Callithrix jacchus: one gene and its partners. The protein of the gene in region 3 purifies or fractionates together with the protein of the main gene of each other region. This does not show direct contact. Links are inferred from orthologs where the notes say so. Each region holds a gene or a part of one and is shown on either strand. Other genes may lie near its edges. The genes, in order: H2BC21, RBBP7 and MORF4L1.

Region 1 (3,750 bases), on a different chromosome or scaffold from region 3:
GAGCCACCGCACCCAGCCAACAGTGACCTTCTAACAGACTATTTAAGCCCCAATGCACCTTTGGGGCAGCAGTTTGGCTGGTGGCTTATAAACAAGTCATCCCCCAGCTCAGAGGCTCCCAAGCTTTTCTACAGAACCAGTGGAAGTTGTATCTGTTAATCTCATTCATTGAGAAAATATACTGTAGATAAAATAATTCAGCAAAGACTTTAAATTAACTGGCAACTTTATTAATAATAACATCTACACACATTTGAAAACACACATGTAGGAGACAATTAAGATTTATTCAGTCTGTGATAATATCTAGAGCTCATTTGGATTCATCAAACCCCTGCAATCAACTCCCAAAGCCCTTAGCTAAAAGTAGAGTTGAATCACTCATCAAACCATCAGTGTGTTCCTCGGCAGAATCAAGGGTTTGACAGAAAGAGTAAATATTCTGCACTTCCACAAAATAAAACTAAAATGCAATTGTCCTGCATCTGAGAATACAAAGGTGGGCAGTATGAACTGCATGACCATGGACCAATCAGGCTTCTCTTGGCCTCATTTGTTTAAAAAAAAAAAGAGAGAGAGATTAACTTTGTAGTCCTGCCCATCTTGAATGGCCGCCTGAAAACCAAACCAGGTGGTGAGTGCAAATTAAAAGCTCCTCTCCTTTAAGAAGGGAACACCAAGACAGGAGTAGAAAAGAAGGAAAAAGGCTCTTTCCCATGACCAATACGCTGAATTTGATGAAAATCCAAAGGAGGTTAGGCTAAACCGGGAAGCACAAAGGTGGAACTACCATTGCCACCTCCTCTTTGATGCAAAAGAATCTTAACACGGCCCCCTCCCAGCTGTTGCACTGAAGTGACTAAGGATACATTTGAGGGAATAACTTCAAAAACATTTCCATTTTCACCGCGCCTTCACGTACATCTAATGGAAATGAACAGCACCCATCATCCATCCACAGAAGCGATTAAAAAACAAGTGGGATGGAAAAATTAACCCAACAATATTACTTCAATCCGTAGTATTGAAGTAAGTGTCCATAATGTGCCAGACTGACTGGCTGAAGAGGCACGGGAAAACCAGACCATCCGGTCTGTCAAGGGCTTGAGAATGCCATGAAGAAAACAGACGAGCCAATTTCAGACAGCTGCTACGAGGAAGATAAAACGAGACCGGGAACTATGAGAGGCGCGAATTCCTGAGTGGATGACGTAGAAGGTCTCTGAGAGGTGACTTTTGAGCTCATATCTACATGGTGTCTTGCAGTGACCCGGGGCCGTAGCGTTACCATTTTAAAGCAGACACCATTAAAAGCAAAAATTATCCACAAACCGAGAAGTAGGAATCTCAAAGTGAACCACGGAAACTGAAATCTACAAATTAGAAAGCGGCGCAGAATTTCGAATAGTCATGTCGCCCAATCAGGAAAAGGCTGGGACCCGGCTGCGCGGGCTTCGTCCAAAGTACACAGAACGGCTGGCATCCACAGGAGGCCCCATCCCAGGGCAAAACTGGTGACCGGACACAAAAGCTGCTGCGAAGCGTCAGTCATACAGCGCTGTCACGCAGTTTGCGGCACCCGGACTGAATTGTGTCCCAGAGTTCTCTTAAGTAACAGCCGGACTCAGCCACTTGGTTTTGAAATGATGAAACAGACCCAACGAAGCCACCAGGGCGCCAGTGTAAGGCGGGGGTGGGGGCGGGCAGAGTCGGATTCCCAACACCCTAAATGAGAACGGACTCCTGGGAAAGCTAAGCAGCACAATGAATAACGACACGCTCTAGATTCAAAAGCAAATCCAATCATGCACTGGGGACCTCGAGTTCCAAATGATTAAGCTACGTGTGCTATTTCCCATGACTTATGCTAAAACAACTTACTTTGTGAGAAAAAACTAAGGGAGTAAGTGAACAAGCTCTTTTCTAGTGATTAGGTGGGTGGCTCTGAAAAGAGCCTTTGGACTCAAGCAGCCGGCGACTCGAGCGAGCGAGCGAGCGCCAGGTCCCGGCAGGGACTCACTTGGAGCTGGTGTACTTGGTGACCGCCTTGGTGCCCTCGGACACGGCGTGCTTGGCCAGCTCGCCGGGCAGCAGCAGGCGCACGGCCGTCTGGATCTCGCGGGACGTGATGGTGGAGCGCTTGTTGTAGTGAGCCAGGCGGGACGCCTCCCCCGCAATGCGCTCGAAGATGTCGTTGACGAAGGAGTTCATGATACCCATGGCCTTGGACGAGATGCCGGTGTCGGGGTGGACCTGTTTCAGCACCTTGTACACGTAGATGGAGTAGCTCTCCTTGCGGCTGCGCTTGCGCTTCTTGCCGTCCTTCTTCTGGGCTTTAGTGACGGCTTTCTTAGAGCCCTTCTTAGGAGCAGGAGCGGATTTTGCCGGTTCAGGCATGGTAAGACACAGTACCAACGCGACTTAGCCAAGAAAAGAAGTAAGAGAATGGGCGGACCTGATCCTTTTATAACCATCTTATGCAAATTAAGGCTCCGAAACTAATTCACTTCCATTGGTCCGTGTGTGGACCTTGCGTTTTCAGCAACGTCTACGTAGCGATACCGACTCTTGACTTGATTGGCCGGCTCTGAAGCCAAATTAGGACCAATGAAAAACTCGTCCTTGACCCCACCCCTAAGAAAGCTTATAAAGGCTTTCTTCTTGGTGATCTTTCAATCTTATTTTGTTGCGTGGTTCTGAGCTTTGTCTGCGTTTAGCCTTGGTTTTAATCATGTCTGGCCGTGGCAAGCAAGGAGGCAAGGCCCGCGCCAAGGCCAAGTCGCGCTCGTCCCGCGCTGGCCTGCAGTTCCCGGTAGGGCGAGTGCACCGCCTGCTGCGCAAAGGCAACTACGCGGAGCGGGTGGGGGCCGGCGCGCCCGTCTACATGGCGGCGGTCCTGGAGTACCTGACCGCCGAGATCCTGGAGCTGGCGGGTAACGCGGCTCGGGACAACAAGAAGACGCGCATCATCCCCCGTCACCTCCAGCTGGCCATCCGCAACGACGAGGAGCTGAACAAGCTGCTGGGCAAAGTCACCATCGCCCAGGGCGGCGTGTTGCCCAACATCCAGGCCGTTCTGTTACCAAAGAAAACCGAAAGCCACAAAGCCAAAAGCAAATAAATGCAGACAAACCAAAGACCAAAGGCTCTTTTTAGAGCCACCCAAGTTTTCAAAAAAAGAGCTAATGCGCTGTTTCGTTACCAGCCCTTCATTTGACACTTTGGTGGCTCTTAAAAGAGCCTTTGGGGTGAATGGGTATGGTGTCAAGCCTATTTATTACTTGCTCTTGCCAGGCTTGTGACTCTCCGTTTTCTTGGGCAACAGGACAGCCTGGATATTGGGCAAGACGCCGCCCTGGGCAATGGTGACACCCCCCAGTAACTTGTTGAGCTCTTCGTCATTCCTCACAGCTAGCTGCAGATGGCGAGGGATGATGCGCGTCTTCTTGTTGTCCCGAGCCGCGTTGCCCGCCAGCTCCAGAATTTCCGCGGTCAGGTACTCGAGGACCGCTGCCAGGTACACTGGGGCGCCGGCCCCCACCCGCTCCGCGTAGTTGCCTTTGCGCAGCAAGCGGTGCACTCGCCCCACCGGGAACTGGAGGCCAGCGCGGGACGAGCGCGACTTGGCCTTGGCGCGGGCCTTGCCCCCCTGCTTTCCGCGTCCCGACATTACGGCTAAAATTGCAGTCACAGCTTCTTTTTCAAGGAGAAGAATGTGGAAGGGATAACCAATTTGATGTAATTTATAAG
Region 2 (3,650 bases), on a different chromosome or scaffold from region 3:
CCTTTAAGAATTGGAAGAAACTCTTTATACAATAAGCCCCAGAGAACATAAGCTGACAGCTTGGGCTGTCCTTGTCTCCTTGACAAAGGTCTCCCCAGCAGTTACACAATCCACAGCAGGAGTGCACATCTGCAGAAGCAATCAATGAAAGCAGAGAAAAGCAAATGGTACAAAAACTCAGAAAGAACAATCCTGCCTACATGTACTATGAGATCCGATGAGACACAAAACAGCTAACATCTTGATCTCTCTCTATATAGTAAGTATGTTTTAAATACAGTCATTTGAATGCAAAACCAAACACAGACACATACACCTTCATGTCTGAATAATAAGAGACAAAACTCACATCACAGAAATTTTATGGTCCATTTGCTGCTTCGCTTCTATTTTACAGAACAGATTCTTTAGGAAGATACTTAAGTTTCTTTAATATTAGGTTTCTTTAAAGAGGGATTACCAAGTTGTTTTTCTAGTTCATGAATTACTATGTAACTTGACAGATGAGCATATTTATGTAGTATGTTGTCATGGACTGGGAGTTACCTTAAATCCCACACATTCAGGCGGCGGTCAGTACCACTTGAAGCCAGAATAGTTTCATTATGTGGAGACCAGTGGACCTAGTAATAGATAATTTTGAAAATGTATTTAAAGGATCATTCGCTGCGAGGTTTGTGGCTATTGTTCTAATCCAATATTTTCTCATCTTGCAGTCCATGATCTTATCCTTGGCCTATTGGCCTCGCCCTCTTGTCCCAGCCTTTCAAGTGCTCTGAAATGGCTCAGCTCCATCTTGTCCTCAGGAAGGCTGCACTCCCCAGCACTGAAGAACTCAGCCTGGGGTCTTAATAAATTTATTCGGCCCCATAACCATCCCAGAAGCTTTTTAATTCTTCAGTAGGGTGTACTTTAACCTATGAACATCTCTATGTAAAACCATGTACAAGGCATTGTTTTCATTAGTGGGCCCATCAGTCTGGTACAGCTTAACTGAAGAATCCCTAGATTTCATTTCCTGACATACAGACACCAGAAAACTGTCACATACCTGGAAAATTTCGTCTTTATGAGATTCGAAGGTATGGAGTTTTAATTTTAAGTTACGCAGATCCCATAAAGCTACGGTCTAAAGAAAAATAACAAGTGAAAATGATTTCTATGCTTTACCTAAGAATTTTCAAATATCTAATTAAAGTAAGAGAACTGGGTTTTATAAACACCAAATAATGCAAAAACTTCAAAACCTTATCCGCAGAGCCGGTGGCTAGAATAAATTCGCTGTAGGGATTGAATGAGAGGCAATTGACTTCGGCAGTGTGTGCATCCACCAAGTGGCTCGGCTTGGAGGTGGTATTGGACCTGGTGTCCCATCTAAAACACAAAGGTAAAGGCACACAGCACCCAGGGAGGATGCATGAGCCTCCTCAGCTTCTCACACTCACACTCGGCCCCACGTCACTGTCAATGCACTCCACAACTAGCTCCACTATGCTCGTCCTTCATGAAGAACCAACCACACAGTTGGTGTTTCAGACCTTGACCACTAAATGATACTTTCAAAACCTACAGAGAACAAGCTAGGGCTATTAGCCCTGGTTTTTTATTAGATTCCCATTTCAATTACCAACTATTTCAAGCAGACAGAAAATAGAGACTATGTAGAAAATAATGTAACAATCTCATACCTACAACTAGCTTTGACAAATGCCCAGTATTTTGTCACATTTGCCTCAGACATTTATGAGGTAAGATTATAGGTGGCTGAATGCAGCCCTGTGGCCATACCTTGACGCAATAATTTTCCTCCCTGATCTCAACTGGTGTCACTCTGGATTCCAATTTTGATATTTACCACTACACCAAGTATATCACTTCACACAAACATACCTATACTTATTTTTTTTCTAATAAGCGATCCTCTCACTTCAGCCTCCTGAGTAGCTAGGGCTGTTACAGGTGCACACCACTGTACCCAGCTAATTTTTTAAATTTTGTGTAGAGACAGGGTCTCATACCTCCTGGCCTCAAGCAATCCTCCTGCCTCAGCCTCCCAAGGTGTTGGGATTACAGCAGTAAGCTACCTAAAGCTGTTTTTTTTTAAAGCCGTAACATAAGCAAAAAAAAAAAAAAAAAAAAATCAAACTACAGCCTGCTGCAATCGCTGATGGTCATTCAGGTCACCCATTTAACAAGATCCCACTGAACTTTCCACCTTACATCATCAGTTTCTGATCATCAGCAACAGATCCAAACAGTGACTCGTGCAGCAGGTGCCAGGCCACATCCTCCACAACAGCCGAGTGGCCAGTAAAGATCGCTTTAGCATCCACAATTTTGCCTTCCTTCGGTCCTGCGTTTATATCCCACAGACAGACAGTCTAAGAGAGAAGGAGAGAGAGAGAGAAAAAAAAAGAACAAGGGCCGTAAGAAACTGAATTTTTCTTTCAAGATGACGTCTCGGTCTGTCACCTAGGCTGGAACACAGTGGTGTGATCTCAGCTCACTGCAGCCTCTGCCTCCCAGGTTCAAGCGATTCTCCTGCCTCATCCTCCTGAGTCGCTGGGATTACTTACAGATGCACACCACCAAGCATGGCTCAATTTTTTTCTGTATTTTTAGTAGAGATGGGGTCTCACCATGTTGGCCAGGCTGGTCTCATACTCCTGACCTCAGGTGATCCACCTGCCTTGGCCACCCAAAGTGCTGGGATTACAAGCATGAGCCACTGCATCCAGCCACATGAAGGAGTTTCTGTAACAGAGCTATTTCCCAGTAAAAAAACCTTTTTTTTTTTTTTTTACATAATATATATGCCCTTCATCTCTGTAACAGTTACTTACACATGAAGACACTCAATGTACGTGGACTGAAGAGAAAGGAACATGTGGAGATCCTGCCATTCACACAGGCTCAGAAGGATCTGGCAAGATTATCATGATGCTTGGCATGTGGGGAGCCCCTGGTAAATTTCAGCTATTATTACGACCAATTCCCAGCCTGGTATCTTCAAAAGGTACTAGTAATTGGGTTACTGGGTACAGTCCACTTTCCTTACTTGGGAAACCATCTCATATACACATTGAGGGAAGCATCCTTTTAGAAAGCCTGTAATCCTGGCTCTTTGGGAGTCCAAAGCAGGTGGATCACTTGAGCCCAGGAGTTCAAGACCAGTCTGGGCAATATGGCAAAACTCCATCTCTACAAAAAAAAAACACAAAAATTCACTGTACACCTGTAGTCTCAGCTACTTGAGAGGCTGAAGTAGAGAACCACTTGAGCCCGAGAGGCGGAGGTTGCAATGAGGCAAGAATGTGCCACTACACTTCAGCCTGGGTGACAGAGTAAGATCCTGCCTCAAAAAAAAAAAAGGTAGACAACTCACAGGATGGGAGAAAATTTCTGAAAACCATAGGGACTTATACCTAGAATACATAAGAAACTCTTGTAACTCAACAATAAAAAGACAAAATATGGACAAAGAATTTGAATACATATTTCATCAAAGGAGATATGCAAATGGCCAATAAATAAAAGAATATATGCTCATCATCATTAGTCATTAGGGAAATGCAAATTAAAACCACAATGAGCCATGTGTGCTGACTCATGCCTGTCAATCTCAGCACTTTGGGAGGCCAAGGCAGGAG
Region 3 (3,650 bases):
TTTGCAAATTCATTTTTATACTACCAAGCATAGACTTACTTTAGGAAATCGTGAAGATAATTCAGTAATAAAGCAAGGCTCTTCTCATCCAGAGGTGTATAGGCCAACATTGCTCCAATTCGTACTGTTTAAACAAGAGGAATTATCGAAAGTTACATCCAAGGCAGCAGCACTTTAACCATGTATTTTAATTATGTGAGCAAATGCAAATTCCTTTAAAATACATTATTTTAGGCCGAACACAGTGGCTCATGCCTGTAATCCCAGCATTTTGGGAGGCCAAGGTAGGCGATCACTTGAGCTCAGGAGTGCCAGACCACTCTGGCCAACATGGCGAAACCCCATTTCTACTAAAAATACAAAAATCAGCTGAGTGTGGTAGTGGGCACTGTAATCCCAGCTATCTGGGAGGCTGAAGCAGGAGAATCACTTGAAACGGCAGGCGGAAGTTACTGCACTCCAGCCTGGGCGACAGAGTGAGACTCCGTCTCAAAAATAATAATAAAATAGAAATACATGATTTTTAAAACTCTTGCTCTTAAAGATTCTTTTGCTATTTAACATTCTAGATCAAAGTTCAAATTAAAATGGAGTCATGTTTTGGAAAGTTAATTATCTCATATTCATTTAGGGAAGACCCTCCCCCCAAAAGCAAAATTATTTTCAACATGGCATTATTACCAAATAGTCTCAGTAGATGTGGCGCTCCATACACCTGGGACATGGGTGCATCAGGGTGATCTGCAAGAATTTCAGCATACTGTGGTCTCTCAAATTTGTAGAGTAGCTGGGTACCCAACATTACATTGAAGTATTCTTTTATCCCTGCCACAACTTCATTAACCGCATACTCCCTGATAAATGAACAGAAATATTCCAAAACTGGTCAATGAAAAGAACTGAGATAGAGAATAATTTAATCAACCAATTTAAAGAATTAAGAGTTGAGCTAGTAAAAATGAACCCACAGCTGAGATTTTTTTTTAAAAAGGCACATGAAAGCAGCGTTTGACAAACTTACATTTTCATATGGTTATGCAAATATTTACATGATAGTTTAAACTGTGCCTAAAATATTTACTATCTGGCCCTTTAAGAAAAAGTCGATCAGCCAACTCCTATGTCAAAGCAGTGAAATTCTATTTTGCTACTTTTTGGTGATATGTTTCAGAGTCAGTACAAGTTTCAGATGATTTATTTAGAAACACATTTTTTTTAGAATGTCTTTTGAGTGTATTTGAAAGGTGTATATTCTTACTTATTATCTGTGTTTCCACGAGATTTCTTGTAATTTGCATAATCCTCAAGAATGGAATCCACATTCTTCTTGGCAGGAAGATAAAAGAGCTATCAAAACAAAAACATGCTTGAATATAAGCACTCTTTTTTTTTAAAAAAAATTACACCGGGAAAATTTTTATACAATAAAAATTTAATTACAAACAGTTTCCAACTTACAATGGTTTGACTTAATTTTCCAACTCTCTGCTGGGCCTATTGGGATGTAATCCCATTCTAAGTTATGGAGCATCTATTTATTTAAACAGCCAAATGTGGCCAGTGAGGCTGTACTGGACAGAACAGCACAGCTTTTAAAAATATCAAACTGTTAGACACACAAAACAGACACAAATGTGCCTCTGTGGTATTACCAACTCATTTACTGTTATACATATTATTTGCTAGACCTAGTCTAAAGCATTAAAATAGTTATCGTTTTATCCTCTCATCGACATTGTCAAATAGGAATTATTATTCCATTAAATGCAGAAACAAAAGCACAAAAAAAGCTAAGAAACTTGTCCAAGCTCACAAACAGTAAGTGATACAGCCACGGCTTGAATCTTCGCAGTTTAGCTGTAACTGCATAATCCTCCAACGGATTCAAATCAGAATTCAAACTATGTCCGTATGTTGTATATGACTGATATGTTTTAAGTCTCATAATCCTCAAGCAGTCCCTAATCATCTGCCCCCCACCATCCCTAACACTACCTATGCCATTTGTTTAAAGAGCTTCATTTGTCCCACAAAATTCTCAATTATAGAGTTCAATGATGGATAAACATGTCGCTCCATTAAACATCCTATTTCCTGCAAACTAGTAACAGACCCAGGAGCTTAGATTCAGGTTCTTTTCAGGGTCATGAATATCTTGCAGGTGGTGACAGGTGCTTTCTATGGCCTACCATTAGCAGGGATGAAGACAGTAAACACATGCTGCTTTGCCTTTACCTATTTTCAGAATTACTTCCTGCCCTAGCAATCGCCAAAGTGTTATTGACACCTTTATCATCACAAAGTCATAAAAGCTTTTTTTTTTTTTTTTTTTGCTAGCAACAATGTATCACATTAGCTAGCAATTTACCTGCTTTTGCCTGGTAATTAAGTCCCAGTCATCAACAAGCCATGGTTTTAGTTCTTCAGGAATCTTTACTTTAACTTCAACTCTGTTCATGAATGTTTCCTCCTATACAGAAATAGAAGAGTATTTAAAAACCTACCTTTATCACGCCACTGCACACCAGTCTGGGCAATAGAGTAAGACACCATCTCAAAAAATAAAACAAAAGAAAACAAAACCCCTATCCTTTCTTGCTAAATACCAAACATGGAAGGGAGTTGACTTTTAAAGGCACTAGGTATAAATTCTCAAAGTAGCTAAGCATACAGCTGAACTGTCATTTTTAAAAACTGTAAATGAAAAAGACCATACACAGCTTTGCTGCTGGGAGAAAAGAATCTGACCTTGAACCATAGTCTATTTAGTACACTATCACTTAAGGTAAAAATTCTTAAGTTCCTGTTGTTCAGGAAATGAAATAAGTGATAGTACACTATCACTTAAGGTAAAAATTCTTAAGTTCCTGTTGTTCAGGAAATGAAATACCCTGAGACTTGATACGTTTTAACTTAGTATTTTCATATTTACCACTGACATCAAAACAACTGTTCCTAACACAACCATCTTAAAGACCCATCTTGAACTCATAAAAGTAAACATACTGATTTCTAATAGTTTTCAAAAACTGCCCCAAAATGCCTATTTTCAGATTCTACTACTTTTAGCTTCAGATATAAACTATGCCAGTTAGAAATTAAAATTCTAGGCCAGGCCGGGCGCAGTGGTTCACGCCTGTAATCCCAGCACTTTGGGAGGCCAAGGCAGGTGGATCACGAGGTCAAGAGATCGAGACCATCTTGGTCAACATGGTGAAATCCCGTCTCTACTAAAAATACAAAAAAATTAGCTGGGCATGGTGCCGCGTGCCTGTAAACCCAGCTACTCAGGAGGCCGAGGCAGAATTGCCTGAACCCAGGAGGTGGAGGCTGCAGTGAGCCAAGATCACGCCATTGCACTCCAGCCTGGGTAACAAGAGCGAAACTGTCTAAAAAAAAAAAAATTCTAGGCTGGCTGCAGTGGCTTATGCCTGTAATTCCAGCACTTTGGGAGGCTGGGATGGGCAGATCACGTGGTCAAGAGATAAACACTACCCTGGCCAACGTGGTGAAACCCTGCCTCTACTAAAAATACAAAAAGTAGCCGGGTGTGGTGGCACACACCTGTACTCCTAGCTACTTGGGAGGCTGAGGCAGGAGAATCACTTCAACCAGGGAGGCAGAGGTTGCAGTGAGCCAAGACTGTGCCA

What was found.
Region 1: the proteins of MORF4L1 (region 3) and H2BC21 purify together in Homo sapiens (affinity purification with mass spectrometry, with the first as the bait; 3 studies listed by BioGRID). This does not show direct contact. The link is inferred for Callithrix jacchus from reciprocal best matches to the Homo sapiens genes MORF4L1 and H2BC21.
Region 2: the proteins of MORF4L1 (region 3) and RBBP7 purify together in Homo sapiens (affinity purification with mass spectrometry; 5 studies listed by BioGRID and IntAct, counting the BioPlex papers as one, with this or other methods). This does not show direct contact. The link is inferred for Callithrix jacchus from reciprocal best matches to the Homo sapiens genes MORF4L1 and RBBP7.

The regions. Positions count from the first base shown.
Region 1 is NC_133519.1:9,820,602-9,824,351, forward strand, and holds H2BC21 (histone H2B type 2-E), read right to left. Parts: upstream 2,440-3,750; 5' UTR 2,398-2,439; coding exon 2,017-2,397; 3' UTR 209-2,016; downstream 1-208. Other genes in the region: H2AC20 (histone H2A type 2-C), read left to right, coding at 2,732-3,121; H2AC21 (histone H2A type 2-B), read right to left, coding at 3,278-3,670. UniProt on the Homo sapiens protein: Core component of nucleosome. Nucleosomes wrap and compact DNA into chromatin, limiting DNA accessibility to the cellular machineries which require DNA as a template.
Region 2 is NC_133524.1:17,112,164-17,115,813, forward strand, and holds part of RBBP7 (histone-binding protein RBBP7), read right to left. Parts: intron 2,382-3,650; coding exon 2,221-2,381; intron 1,375-2,220; coding exon 1,248-1,374; intron 1,130-1,247; coding exon 1,052-1,129; intron 624-1,051; coding exon 547-623; intron 1-546. UniProt on the Homo sapiens protein: Core histone-binding subunit that may target chromatin remodeling factors, histone acetyltransferases and histone deacetylases to their histone substrates in a manner that is regulated by nucleosomal DNA.
Region 3 is NC_133507.1:29,178,266-29,181,915, forward strand, and holds part of MORF4L1 (mortality factor 4-like protein 1), read right to left. Parts: intron 2,471-3,650; coding exon 2,369-2,470; intron 1,348-2,368; coding exon 1,259-1,347; intron 855-1,258; coding exon 682-854; intron 125-681; coding exon 40-124; intron 1-39. UniProt on the Homo sapiens protein: Component of the NuA4 histone acetyltransferase (HAT) complex which is involved in transcriptional activation of select genes principally by acetylation of nucleosomal histones H4 and H2A.